Notamacropus eugenii: one gene and its partner. The protein of the gene in region 1 interacts with the protein of each later gene in a biochemical or structural test. Links are inferred from orthologs where the notes say so. Each region holds a gene or a part of one and is shown in the gene's direction. Other genes may lie near its edges.

Region 1 (7,175 bases):
CTCTACCTATATCCTACAGCCATTCTCTCTATCCTCCTCCCTATTTATTAGCATTCGACAAGTATTCTTCTATACCAGATGTGGAAAATGATCAGGGGATTGACCACTCCATCTTAGAATTTCTGGTAAAGAAGAAAAAAGTCAGGCACAGTCTGACACACCCTAGATTTGGGGAGAAACAACTATTTCAAATGACTCGGAAAAAGGATAGATTCTATAGGGAAGTCAGGCAGAATCGTGGAATTACAGAATCCCAAGAGTTGGAAGAGATTGCAGAGATCAGGGGGTCTGAGCTATAAGTAAACAAGAATCTTCTTTACGTACCTAACAAGAGGCCACCCAGCCTTTGCTTGAAGACCTCCAGTGAAGGGCTCACTTCTTCTCAAGGCACCCCATTCCACTTTGGGATAGTGGTAATCATCAGGAAGTTTGCCTTTTCTATGGAACCCAATAGTTTCTTTGCAACGTCCATCCATTGCTCTTAGAGGTGGGCTCAGTGACTAGAGTGTTACTGGTTAGACTGCTAAACTTGGAGTAAAGAAGGTCCGAGTTCTAGTTTGGCCTCTGACATATATTTTGTGACCATGTGACGCTGGGCAAATCCTTTACCCTCTGCCTGCCTCAGTTTCCTCATTGATAAAATAAAGATAATGATGTCACTTCCCAAGTTTGTTGTGATGATAAAATGTAAAGACAGGAAGGTTTGCTTTGCAAACCTTAAAGCACTAACATAAATGCCAATTATTATTATTAATTCTGCCCATTGGGGGCAAGCAGAAGAAAAGGTCTAATTTCATAGGACAGTCCTTAAAATACCAGAAGGTGGTTGTCATGTGCCCCCTAAATCTTTACTATCCTTTTTGCCTTTTTTCTGTAGGCTCTCTAGTTCATCAGCACCTTTTGTAAAACAGAACACAATCCTCCAGATGGCGACTGATCGGGTTAGAGTACAGTGAGACCATCACCCCGCTAGTACTGGACATTATGTCAAAGATCAACAATCACATCTTTTAGATTTTTCATTACCCTCCAATTAAGTTTGTCTGGGCCTGGTAAAACGAATCCATCAAGGACAACAAGGCATTCCCTTATCACCTCTCTGCTTTATCTTGGGCATCAATTCTAGGGGCCATTTTTTTTCCCCTTTCCCATCAGATCTTTGTCTTTCTCAGAGAAAAAAAAAGAAGCAAAATCTGAATTGAATTATTCTTCTTACTCTCTGCTGTCCTGCCCTTCATCCTGTCCATTTGAATAATAATGACCCTTTTTATGGTAATAATGAGTTGATACCCAAGATAAGTAAAGAAAATGTTAAGAAAATACCCAGCTACCTTTGATGGATTTGTCACTAAACCTGGATGTATCCCAGGGTACTCAGAGAAGAGGTCTGTGTGATTGTCTAGCTATTCTGTGATCTTTGAAGGAGTATGAAGCATGAAGCTTGTATGAAACTTGCTGTGGGCCTGGAGATGTGCAAATATTTTTCTGATTTTCAAAAAAGGGAAGAAAATGTGCAGTTTAGAAACTATAGGTCAGTGACCTTGATTTCAATTCCTGGCAGAATTCTAGAACATATATTAAAGGGATGTCTCTTGAACATCTAGAAAAAGGAAGCAATGATCATAACGAGTCAGCCTGACAGCAGTTCATGCCAATCTAACTTTACTTTGCTTTCTTTGTTTTCCCTGAGTAACTAGATTGGTAGAATGGGGAAATGTTGTAGACAAAAGATAGCCAGATTTTAGCAGAATGCTACATGTCTCATGGTATTCTGTGGGACAAAATAGAATATTGACTAGATAATAGTACAGTCGTACAGATCCAGCGCCTGTTGGTCAGACCCAAAAAGCAGTCATTAATGGGTCAATGTCAATTTATTTAAAAGGTCTGTAGTGTCCTCTTGAAGAATTCTGGGCTTAGCCCTCTGCTGTTTAACATTTATCATTTTCACCCAAGACTAAGATAAGGTCAAAGTTGGTACCCTTATCAAATTTGCAAATAACAAAAAGTTGGAAGGAATAGTTAAAGACACTTCATCACAGGATTCAGAAAGAGATTCTGAAAAGAAACTTCCTGAAACGTGCATTAATTCCAGCACTTGTTTATATTAAAGTCCATTTGTTAAAAAAAAAAACCCACCACCTAACATTGGGCCTCATCTCATAAAATGAAATTTAATAGGAATAAAGTTTTACGTGTGGACCTCAGAAATACAATTTGGGAGAAGTCTTGGTTAGGCAGTCTACCAGATAAGTGAGACACTTTCAAAGAGATCTAAGAGTTTTGGTGGAATGAAAGGTAACAAAGTTTTGGTACTGCATCCCATCAAAGCAGCGCAGCGATGAGAACTCGGGAGGCAGGAGCACCTCTCTCACTGGCCTGGGCAGAGCAGGTCTAGAGGGCTGTCTTCGGCTCTGGGTGCCCCATTCTAGTTAGAAGTAGGCACGGCCAAGCTGGACCCAGCCCGAGGACGGAGGCCCAAGGGAAGTCTGAAGATGGGTACACCTTGTGTGGGATGGCTCAGGTCCCTACATAAATCAGTTACTCAGAGGCCTCTCAAAGTGATGACAGAAAAGAGATTTATTCGATTCTCGAGAAGCGGGGCTCACCTGTAGGAGTAGGAAAGCCAAAGACAAAGAAAAGACAGTGATTTATACAGACCCTAACACAAGTCCCTCTCCCCCCACTGACCATTATCCTCATTAGCTGAGAATATGGTCTTACATTCTAGACACGAAATCTAACCAATCCCTTTTGAAATGAAGACATCGAGGAATTATGTAAGTTTTGTCCAGTCATTGAGACCCTAATACACTACACAGTTTTATATCCTTATATGGAACTATTCTATTCTAAAAATATTGTAACCTTGAGCCTTTAGGCCTTACCTCACCCCTGGGAGAAAAATTACAATCTGAGGAGTCTTCACTAAGTCTATCCCACTCAACCTGAAGCTTTCACTGGATCCTGGATTTACAAGGGAATGCCACTTTGAAGGTTATTTATGTAGTCCAAAGCCTTTACTTCGTAGATGCGAGGTTTGTCTCAGTGCTTAATGGCCAAGGCAGGATTCAAAACGAGGTCCGGTCCACTGATTCCAAATCCAGGCCTCTGAATACGTGTTTCATGGAATGTACACGTGGTTTGAAAGGTCTCTGCCCTCCCCCCGCCCCCCAGGCTGTCATTCCCAAACCCTGGGAAGTCGAGGAGATCCGGGGAGGATGACGACATCTGCACAGGCCTGGGGAACTTCTCGTTCCGTGGGAGGAGGGCAGGTAGTAGGAGAGGCGGTTGTAGCGACGCCTCCGGGAGCGCCCTTCTCGGGGCTCGGCCGGAGCTGGGGTGAAGCTTCGCACCTTCTGGCACAGACCTTTGGTCCGCGATCCGTCCCGGCGGCTCTCGTGGGTGCAGCGCGGGAGCGCCTCCTATCCCCGCCCCCCGCCCAGCCTGCCGCCCCACGGGAGCTCCGCAGCCGTTGGTTCACTGGCCTCGCGGAGCCCGAGCTAGGTCCGGCGCCAGCCCGCCCCGCACGGACTGAGCGGAGGGGCACGCCCTGCTCCCCTCCCGGAGCCTCACCCCGGACCCGGGCCGAGCTTCCCTCCAAAGCCCTACCCGCCCAGGGCCTGAATCCCCTTTTTCTTTTAGACACCTCACTATCTTCCGGAGTCCCTTCCCCCGAGGACTGTTAGAAAAGGGCGGGGCTCAAGCGGAGGCCAACCCGGCTCTCCCCGAGCCCGCGGGGCAGCGTTCAGACAAAGACATTCCACGGCCCCCGCCCCAGCTCGCTGCCCGCCCGCCCGCAGGGGTGGAGACACGTGTCCGCGCTACAACCTGGTCACGTGTTATAGGGAGCGAGGGAGGGCTAGCGCGTGCGTACTGGCGTTAAGCAGGCTCCGCTAGCGCTCCTCCGCCGGTTCCTCAGTGGAGGCGGTCGACGTGAGGGGCGGGGACTTAACAAGGTGCGCGCCGGTGGTGACGCGCAGGCGCCGTGGCAGAGTCGGGGACTTTGTTCTCGGCTCTGGGAGCAGGGCGGCACCGGTGGCGGGCCGCGCGTGCGCAGTCGCTCACTTCCGGTGATCTCTTTCACTCTGTGTCTGGGTCGATCTCTCGCTGGGTTGTTCTGGTCTGCTCCGGTCCTCTCCGCGCCAGCTCTCCCGCCTCCGCCAACCGCCGCCGTTGCGCGGGCCTCCGCCGCCGCGCTCCGTTCCTCAGCCGCCCTCCCGCCCGCTCCGCACTCATGCAGCGCCGGGACGACCCCGTCGCGCGGCTGTGCCGGCCCCTGGGCCGCGGCGGCGCCGTGGATCCCTCAGGCGCCCACCCGCCGCCGCGCCAGGCGCCGTCCCGGCAGCCGCTGCCCTCTCACCGGCCCCGGGGCGGCGGCGGAGGCCCTCGGGGTGGCGGCGGCTCTCGGGCCGCGCCGACCACGCAGCCCCCGCCGCTGCTGCCTCCCTCGGCCACCGGCGGGGGCCCCGAGGTGGGCGGGGGCGGCCCGGCGCCTGCCCCGACCCCGCTGCTGCCGCCCTCCGCCACGGCCGCCGCCAAGATGGAGCCCGAGAACAAGTACCTGCCCGAACTCATGGCGGAGAAGGACTCCCTCGACCCGTCTTTCACCCACGCCATGCAGCTGTTGGCTGCAGGTGAGCCGGTGCCCCGTGGCGGCGAGCCTCGGAGGGGGCCCGGGCCCAAGCGGGGGAGGGAGGTGTGGGCTCCCCGCTCTTTCTGCGGCTGTAACGGAAGGGGCCCTGGTGGATTCCGCGGAGAGAACGGTGGCTCCGGTCCTGGAGCGCCCCCCCTCCCCAGGCCCGGGCTACGAACCCCCGAGGGAGGGGTGGCATCGGGGAAATGTCACTGTTAGGTCGCGGGGCTGGAAAGGGAAGCCGAGGCCTCAGTTTCCCCGCCTGTAAAACCGAGGGGAGAGGGCGAGCGAGATGCCCGAGGACTCTTCCGAGCCTCAGCTCCCCCATCAGTTAAATGGGGGGGGGGCGGTGAACAAGGTGCCGGAGGGCCTCCGTTTCCCGGTCACTACTGTGAGAGGTGGGGTGACGACGGTCCCTTCGGAACCCGGGGTCCTGCCCCCCTCCGAGGGTCTCCATCCGCAGCCCGTGCCCGGCGCCTCGAAAGCGCCACCTCCATGCCTTTTGATTGACTGGCCGACGGCCGGAGCCCGGAGTCGGCCTCTGCCGCCCGAGGCTGGCCTGGCGGCGGGGCGGCGGGTGCCCCCAGCAGGAGGGCCCTGCCGGGAGGGACCGAGGCGGGCTGGGGTGGGAGGGGCAGGGGGCGGGGCCGGCCGGGGGCGCCTGCGGCCCCAAGTGGACACGACTCCGCCGACCCTACTGGCCGCCCAGGGCCGTCCTCTGTGGGCCCGGCCGTACCCTGCATTCCCTTCCCCTCCCCCCGCGGGTGTTTAACGGCGTGGGATCCTCCTGTTCTCCACTCGAGACTCTGAACCGCGACAGCCGGGGGAGGGGGGCGAGGCGCTCTTTATCCTTAATGCCGGAGGACTCGGCCTGGAGGGAAGTTGCTCCCCCGCGCCTCGCCCCGAGAGCGTGTTGTCGTGGGTTTTATCCTGGTTGGAGAACTGACTAGAGAAAGGGGGTGCCAGTCTTTGTTCTGTGTCTGCTGAACGCGCTCCGCTCCCACATCGCGCGGTCCAATCACCTGGGAGCTCCGATTCCCCTTATCCCCACAACCCATCTGCTTTGTATTAGCTTCTACTTGTGGGATTCTTTTCAAAAGAGTTTTTTATGATAAATAGATTTACTGGGTACGTTAAAATCTGGAACCTTCAGGGCTGGGAACGTTAGTTTATTTGGCAACCTTAAGCATCAGGAGACTTGGAAAAGAAGTGACTTGGCTGTTCTTTGTTCTCTGTCTTGAAGGGGGGCCCGACTTTAAAAACAAAAATTGAAACCTGTGATTGTCAGCATTCCGATCAGTCAAGTTTACATCTCATTTGATGTAATGGGAAACATTTTTAGATCTAATATTGTGTTTAGTGTTGCCCGTTCTCGGTTGTGTGGTGTAATTCAGTTCTTTTGGAAACCTGCTTGGGAAGGGGGTGTTCCCTTTTTAGATTGAGGTTTACTGTGTTGTGACATTGTAAGTGTCAGATTGGCTTAGCGTGGTGGCACCAAAGTGACATGCATTGCTTTTCATTAAGCACCTTCTCTTTTGATATGTAAATATTTTTCTTAATTATTGGAAGTGATGCTTAAAATCTGTGACCCATTTTCAAAAAACACTGATTTTTCTGAAAGATGGCTCTAATAATTAGTCTTTATATTGCCATTGAGTAGCTCCTCATTTGCGTTTTAACTACGAAGTAGTTTCTGCTAGCACATCTCATCAACTGCTGAATAGTCTGGGAATTTATATTTCCAAAAGTATCTAAAAACAGATCTAGATGAAACACATCAAAAATGACCTATAGTGTACTTTTTTAGTGCATTTGTAGTAATGGCTCTTATGTTTAGAGCTGTAACCATACACAGAACTCCTTATTTTGTAGAGCCAAACAGGGTAAGAAATCGTAAGGTTACCAGATCCTTTAGGCCTATACCAAGTTCCCAATAGGTAAATCTTTGTAACTGGAGTTTTAAATGAAAGGTTTCTTAGAGTAAGCACTTGAATGTATTAATCCTCAAACGATTGAGGTTTTTTCCCTTTGTTGGTTTACCTTTTGTTTCCTTCCAAGAGAAACTTTAGGGAAACTTTTTCATTTGTTAAGCTTTGGTTTTTCCTTTAGTTAATTTTACTGAGCTGGTAAAGTAATTAGAGCCTAGATTCTTAACCTTTTACGTATCATGGACCCTTGGGCAAACTTGGGAAGCCTGTGGACTCTTTAGAATAATGCTTTTAAAAGCATAAAATAAAATACTGAAAATGTACAAAAGAAACTAATCATATTGAAATACAGTTCTCAGGATATTTTAAAGAAACTGTTGCATGCAACCCACCTTAAGAACCCCTGTCGGAGAGATTGGATTAGAGAAATATCATTGTTAGGAAAACCAGATGGAGAGCTATATTCCAGTTCTAAGTTGTAATACTTTTTGTTAAGGTATTTATGAATGAATTGTAAAGATTCATTCAGAATTTCAAATATAAAGTGAACCCCAGGAGGCACTCTTAAAGGTTCTATGATTGGGCAATATAGTGGCAAATGAGTGAGACTG
Region 2 (7,671 bases), about 9.0 Mb from region 1:
GAGTTCTTGAGTCAGTGAAGCTCTCTACGCAGCACTCCGTGGCTCACCAGCAGCACTTACTTCATCGTTTAGCTTCCGGGCCTACATCAGTCTTCTCCTCAGGAGTGATGTGCATCGCCAGGTGCAGGACGTAGAACAGGGCCCTGGGTCCCAAGGGAAGGGCCAAGCACGAGGTGGGGACCCTGTGTGTAGGTAGACGGTGGTCTGGGTGGTCACAAATAGGGAAAGCACTGGAGCAAAAGAGTGCTCCGGGCGTGGGACTAGATCTGGGCTAGGGATGGGGCTGAAACTGGGGAAGGGTGGGAAGGGGCGAGAATCCCGGGGATGGGGACCAGGAATTAACTTGAGGTCGAGAGGAACGATGGGAAAGATGCATGGATCGGTTGGGGAGTAGGACTTCTTCCTGGGGACGGGAACTAGTCTAAAACAGAGGAGAACTGGACTGGGACTCTCCTGGGGCGGGGCTTGTCTTGCAGGTAGGGCAGATTTTGGAGCCAGGACTGGGTTTAGGGACTTGGCCAGGTGTGGAGGGCGAGGTCTGGGAGGTGCCAGAGACGGGGGTGGGGCCTATGAAGGGCGGAGGGGTGCCAGTTACTGAGCACTGGGCTGATCTGGGGTGGGGAGTGGCTAGAGGCTGGGAGCTGAGCTGATTCTGGTCATGGAGCTGTCTGGGGGTGGTGCTAGAGTCTAATGACTGGCCGCGGTCAGACCCAGAGCCTGCCCTCACCGAAGTGAGGGTCCGAGAACATCCGGTGGGCGTAGAAGGCTAGGGATCCGGGCGAGACGTCCATGTGAGACGGCTATGGGGCAGTACCGGCTTGAGGGCTATGTTCCTGTAGCCGGCCAGGAGGACGGTGGGCTTGGACCCTTTGGCAGGGCACACATGCATTCCGGGGACCCAGGAAGCTGGATATTATTGCCTACCCTTTAGTCTCTTCTCGGCCCCCCACCGTTCACAGCTCCTTGCTGACCCTTTCTTTCTCTAGTCGCACCAAATAGTTCAGAGGAAGCCACAGGTCAAACCACGGGGCCACAAAGGCTTAAGCCAGCCCTAGGTGAGGGAGCATGTTTGGAGGTCACTTTTCTCAAGTTGAAAAGAACTCTCCTAACGCCTCCAAGAACATCCTGTCCCTTCCCCCAGCCCTAGCTTGTCCTCGGCCTCTGGAAAAGAGACTGGCTTTCTCAATGCCCTCCCAAAATCTCAGACAGTTTCTAGGAAACAGGTTACAAAGCACTTTACATAGACTCATTTGAGAACGTACTTCCAAGACTTATTATAAGCCTCAAATGAAATAATACAGGTGAAGAGCTTTGCAAACCTTAAAATGCTATGGAACTGTGAGTTGTTATACACTGGACCTGAAGTCAGGAAGTCAGGAGTTCAAATCCAGCCTCAGATATCTCATGGCTATGTAACTGGTCAAATCACTAAACTTCTCTCACTTTCCTCATCTATAAAATAGGCATGATTAATAACAGTAATAACACTTTTAGGTTGTCTCATTTGATCCTCACAACAACTCTGGGAGGTAAGTGCTATTTGCTATCCCCATTTTATAAATGAAGACTGAGGCAAAGAGGGTTAAGTGACTTGCCCAGGGTCACACAGCCAGTAAGTGTTTGAGGCAGGACTTGGATTCAGGTCTTCCTGACTCTAAGTCCTGTTTATTTATCCACTGGGCCACCACCTAAAATGGGACCAGAACTAGTTGTGTGACTGTGGGCAAGTCACTGAACATCTCTAGCAACCTTGTAAGATTATACGTTATGGGAGGTATCTGGGTCTGGTTTGGTGGCAGGACACATCCTGTGTTCCATACACAAATGAAAACAAAGCTTTAGATCAAGACGGGGGAAAAACTTCATGAAGTTGTGAGTAAAATGATTTGTAAGCTACTAAGTATATACAGTTTAGGGTGTGCTAAAATTTTCACTTTGGCATCTAGATGGCCAAGTGGATGGAGCTGTTGGGCCTGGACTCAGGAAGATTCTTCTTCATGAGTTCAAATCTAGCCTCAGATACTTACTAGCTGTGACCCAGGGCAAATCATTTAGTGTTGGTTGCCTCAGTGTCCTCATCTGTAAGATGAGCGAGGAAATGGCAAACCACTCCAGCGTCTTTGCCAAGAAAGCCCCAAATGGGGTCATGATGAGTCAGTCACATCTGAAACAACAACAAAAAATTACTATGTGTCAGCCATTATGCTAAGTGCTAGGGATAGAAACAAAAAGGAAATAGTTTCTGCTCTCAAGAATCTTATTTTCTAATGGAGAAACAATATCTACATTCATACATGTAAGTAAATACATCACATATACCATGTAATTTCATAGGGAGCATTTGCTATCACAGGGTTCAGGAAAATCTTTGAGCCCCAGGTGATCGGAGATTGCGAGGAAGCTCTGCATTCTAAGAGGCAAAGATGGGAAGGGAGAACATTCTAGGCCTGTGGGAGCTGTGCAAAGGTATTGAGATGGAAGTTAGGAATGTTGTGTACAAGGAAACAGCAAGCAGGCCAGTTTGACTGCTGTGTAAAATATGTGAACGTGAGTCATGTATCAACCTGGAAAGGCAGCCTGGCATCATACTGAAAACGCCTTCAGTAAGAGGCTGTGTGGAGGTTGGATTGAAGAGGATAGAGTCCAGATATAGAGAGGCAAGTTAGGAGGCTACTTCAGTAGTTAGGACAACAGGTGATAAGAGGTGGTTCCAGGATAGGCTAGGGTGGTTATAATATAGGGGGAGAGTAGGGAGAGATGGAGATACTGAGGCTGTAGAATGGACAAGGCTTGACCATTGGTCTGTCTAGAAGAAGATGAAGACTCAAGGCTAGCTCCAAGGTGACAGACTTGAGAGACTGGAAAGATGATAATACCCTCAATAGAAATGGAGAAGTTGGGGAAATGAGTAGGGTCATATCTACTTCTCAAACCTACCCATTTCCCCAACTCCCCTATTATTGAGAGCATTACTGTCCTTCCAATCTCTCAAGTCTGGGGAGAAGATAATGAATTGTGATTGGACATGTTGAGTTTCACATGCCTACAGGTCATCCAATTGAACGTGTACAGAGATTGTTGGTGATGTGGGCCCAGAACCTGGAACAACCACAGCTGGATAGACATATCTGCAGAGAGGAGATAGTAATCCTATAAGGAGGTGGTGAGATTACCAAGACAGAGGGTATAGAGAAAAGAAGAGGGCCCCAGTCAGAGCCTGTAGCAACACGAAGTATAAGAGGTGGTGGGGTGGTGGGGATGATGATGACCATACAGCAAAGGAGGCAGAGAAGAAGCCCACACAGACAGGTGAAGGTAGACCAAAGAAAGCTGTGTCAGAAAAGTTCTGAAAGGAAAGAGTCTGGGTGTGGAGGATGGCCAACGGTGTCTAAAGTTGCAGAGAGGCTACTGTAGTCTTCCCTACCATACTGGTGACCAGAGGCCATAACCCAGTGGTCCCCTCTACCCATGAGGTCCACCTTGGAATTCACCAGCTGAGTGCTGTTCCTCAATGCTGAGGCCACTGCCCCAGGGAATCTCTGAGCCACCTAGAGCACCATGGGTGCCTCCCTCAAACCTCAGACCAGGCCACTAACACCTGCAGGAAACATAAATCCTTGTCCCACCCCTTCTGCCTTGAGGTCCTTTGTCAGCTTGTGACTACATTAAATAACTAAAGCCTCAGGCAGGGCCTCCTGGGGGGGTGGGGGAGGGGACTGGAACAATCCCCTCCCTGTCTGCCACACCCTAGCCCCATCCTTTTCTTTCATTTGTACCTTCCAACCCTCTCCCGTGGGGAAACTGGATTGGCTGAACTCCACTGGGTATAATATAATCCCCAACCTTTGCTGTCCCCTTAAGATCCTGCTGTGGTTATCTATTTTTGACCTATCTCCTCCATTGAGTGGGGAGCTCCTGGGACCAGAGGCTATTAGTCGAGGAGGCTCTCCAAAGGCAGGGACAGATGCTCCCTTCCCCCAGGGTGGATACCTGGCAAAAACCAGGTCAGGCTGACAATTCATTCCCAGTTTCAATATTTGAATATCTGTGTTGCCTAATCCCTGCACAATAAGGGACAGTGTCAGTTAGGTGACCTAGCCCACACACCGCCTCCCTGTGATTCTCTTCCTGTCTCTACCCCTATATAACTCATGTTACTACAGGTAGTAGCTGAACTGGCTCTTGAACCCAGAACCCCTGACTCCAAATCTGGAGCAATTTTGACTACTTTGTGTTGCTTGCCCCATCTGAGTTTAGAGGCAGGAGATCTGTGGGGAGTGAAAAGAGTATGGAATTTGGTGTTAGGAGACCTGAGTTTAAGGCCCAGCTCTGCCATTTTACTACCTATGTGATGTTGGGTAGGATACTTCAGCTTCCTCTCAGAATCTCATCTGGAAGAAGCCAGCTAATCCAAACTATTGTTTGTCCTTCATTTTGAAAAAGCACCAGTTACATATTGAGTGATGTCTTCACTTGCTCATGAATTGGATTTAAGTGAGGAAAAGTTGCACAAAGTCATCAGCCTCACTCTCTTCTTGAGTCATCCAAGTCCAGTGGCAGGAGCGAAGTCAGGATGATTGGTGATAGCCTGAGATGCAGTGGATGACCTTGGCATCTTCAATGTCTGACCAAGCTCTAAGTGCTCCACAGAGCTTGCTTCAGCTGCCTTCATGGTCGGTGGAACAAATTATTCTCATCTGCCCATTCCTCCAGGTAAGTCTTCATAAGCTTGGGGTAGATATCCCCTTAACTTGCTGATAGTTTTTCGGTCTGTCAGGTATCCTCATCCTGGTTTATCCTGTCTGCCAAGGGGATTTTACCAAGGTGTGACCACTGCTCATGCTACAGCTTCTTGGAGTGACAGGTGAGAATTAGGTGAGAGGTGAACATCAAGGGTGGATGAGCAGCCCTCATGCCAGAGGTGCTGGTCCTCCCTGAACACCCCATGTACAAATGCAGAAGGAAGTAACTAAAGAAAGAAGGAAACATGCATTTACTAAGTACCTATTATGTGCCAGGCACCTTACAAATATCTCATTTGATCTTCATAACAACTTGTGCTACTATTACCCCCATTTTATAGTTGGGGAAGTTGAGGCAAAGAGAGGTTATATAACTTGTCCAGGGTCAAACAGCTAATAAGTGTCTGAGGCTGGATTTGAACTTGGTCAGTCTTCCTGACTCCAGGCCCAGTGTTCTGTCCCCTCAGCTACAGAATCAAAGAATCTCAGACCTGTCAGTCCCTAGGTGGCCATCTGGTCCAACTCGTACCTGAACAACAATCTCTCCTACAATACAACTAAGGAGTAGTCATCCAGCCTTTCATTAACAACCTTGAGCGAGGGGGAACCCACCACATCCTGGGGGACTCTGATCTGCTTTGGGTTAGTTCTGTTAGGAAACTCTTTCTGACATCTACTTCTGCATCTTCCAAACTAGTTTTTTTTGGGGTGACCAAGCATAAGAGTTTGGTCATGCCAGTTTCTCTAAGATGCTTTCCTGAACTGAATAAAGATGAGATCCGAGTCTTGGGACCCCTCAGCTCACCTTCTTCCCTTGGCCTGTGTTCAGGTGCTCTTCCTCTTCCCTATGACCTTGGTAGATGGAGCCATTCCATTCTATTCTTGTCTGTCTGCACTCTGCCCAGTGACCTGGCCCTGAGGGAAAGATGAGAACTGGGGGAGGAAGGCCCACTCTTAACCCAAGCCCACTGATTAGAAATAATATACAAGTTTTCAGAGGAAGGGGGTCTGCGGTATAAATGAGAGGTCTCTCTCTCTTCTTGTTTGGGAGTTCCTTAGGGTGGGAAACACAAGTAGGCCCACCATACACATCTGAGGCTAGAGACTGTTCCAAATCAACCCCACAGAGCACAAGTGATCCATTTTCCTGGCTCCCCAGAAGCTCTGAGATGCCCAGCCCTTAGTAACTTCTTTAAAAGGATACATTCACCAGCTCCACCCTTCATCCCCGAGGGCAAGGTGTTCCAGTGAAAGTCAAAGACCTAGAGCAGGGTGGAGGATCCTACTCTGCTATAGGCCCAGTGACAAAGGAAACCAAAGGAGAAGGGGGCAGGACTTGAAAGGAGCCAACTCTCTGCATTAACCAGGAAACATACAGGGCAGTATGACCTCACCTCCCATCTCACCTGCTCCTATCTGAAGTTGAGACCTCCTGGGAAATCTGCCAACTTCTAGCCCTCTGGGTGATGTATCTGGGTGTTGTATGCCCAGAAAGCTCTAGGACAGGGTTGGTAGGGAACAGGAAAATGACCAGAGCTGTTTGAAATCTCTGCCTACCAGACAAAGCAGTTTTAAGGGTGTGGTCTAGGTCCTTTCTTTGCTTTCCTGACCTTCTTCCAGTCTATCTGTTCTGAGATCAAGGATTATGATTTTTCAGAAAATGAAAGGAATAGAGCTGAAAGGAACCTGAGAGACCTTGTTGTTGAAGTCTGATCTCCTCTACAAACATCATCCACCAGTGGTCATCTTGCATCTGTCTGTGGACTTGCAGCAATGTGGAGCTCACTACCCATCAGAACATTCCATCCCATTGTTGGCTGGCTCTGACAGCTAGGAAATTCTTTCGTATATTGATCTTTCCCCAACTAGACTTCTATGTACTCGTTTCAGCTCTGCTCACTAGGTTCTAGACTGATCTTATGGGCAAAAGCAAGTCAAGTCATTTGCTATGATTCCTGAGCTAGAGCTACTGTATCAGTAGATCCTGACTCTCCAAGGTCAGGCCATAAGACCAGATGCCTAGAGAATCAAGCCAGAGATGCTCCTCACTTATCACCTCCATTCTCAGTAAGGACCAAAACCTAACAAAGCAAAGTATGCTCTTACAAGTACCCAAGGACACAATTCTATTGGGGATGACCAACAGTCATCTAGTCCTAATTGAACATTTGCTGCATATCCAATCATGTATTTGGGACCTGTAGGAAGACAGAAGAGGGAGAAGCAATGGTTTCCCATCTTTAGGGAGTTTAGACAAGATAAAGAATCATAAATTGTCACAAATTTCTGGAACAGGCCTTAGCACCTAGAATAGTAGAGCTTAGAAGGGGCCCTAGAAAATGCTGTAGTATGTCAAAGTTGGGAAGAGCCTTAGAACATATAGACTGCTGGAGCTAAAATAGGCCTTAGCTTATGGAAAGAGTTGGGTAGTGCCCAAGAACATAGAATGTGAGAGCTGGGAAGTTCCTTAGAAGATAGAAAGTCTCTAACCTTAGAAGAATCTTTAGAACTTAGGATGTCAGAGCTGGGAGGGCCCTTAGAACAGAACATCAGAGTTTAAAGGACCCCTAGAGATCAAATCCAATTCTCTCAAGGGGAAACTGAAGCCTGGAGAAGGGAGGGGACTTGTCCAAGGTCTCAAAATAAGTTAGCAACAGAGCCAGGACCAGATCTTGTGATCCCCAGTCTGGTATTTGTACTACTCGACCTTCAGTCTCTTGGAACCAATATTAATGCAGGCAGGCAGTCCAGTGAGAGAGACACAGACAGTAAGCTTTGCTGCAGGCCTGCAGAGAGTGGAGAGGCCCTGAAACACGTGGGAAGGATTAAATAGTGAGGGGGAGGAGGACATGCGATGCAGGGAGAGCTCTCTGAGGAAGGGTTTAGGGTCAGAAATGGGGACAGGCACAGGGCACTCTGCCGACTGGGA

The links.
Region 2: of the proteins of KHDRBS1 (region 1) and FGR, one has a biochemical effect on the other in vitro, tested with the Homo sapiens proteins (2 studies listed by BioGRID, with this or other methods). The link is inferred for Notamacropus eugenii from reciprocal best matches to the Homo sapiens genes KHDRBS1 and FGR.

Annotation. Positions count from the first base shown.
Region 1 is NC_092876.1:77,776,385-77,783,559, reverse strand, and holds the start of KHDRBS1 (KH domain-containing, RNA-binding, signal transduction-associated protein 1), read left to right. Parts: upstream 1-4,109; 5' UTR 4,110-4,237; coding exon 4,238-4,637; intron 4,638-7,175. UniProt on the Homo sapiens protein: Recruited and tyrosine phosphorylated by several receptor systems, for example the T-cell, leptin and insulin receptors. Once phosphorylated, functions as an adapter protein in signal transduction cascades by binding to SH2 and SH3 domain-containing proteins.
Region 2 is NC_092876.1:68,801,913-68,809,583, reverse strand, and holds the start of FGR (tyrosine-protein kinase Fgr), read left to right. Parts: upstream 1-4,593; coding exon 4,594-4,713; exon of another isoform or gene 4,714-4,969; intron 4,970-5,547; exon of another isoform or gene 5,548-6,391; intron 6,392-7,671. UniProt on the Homo sapiens protein: Non-receptor tyrosine-protein kinase that transmits signals from cell surface receptors devoid of kinase activity and contributes to the regulation of immune responses, including neutrophil, monocyte, macrophage and mast cell functions, cytoskeleton remodeling in response to extracellular stimuli, phagocytosis, cell adhesion and migration.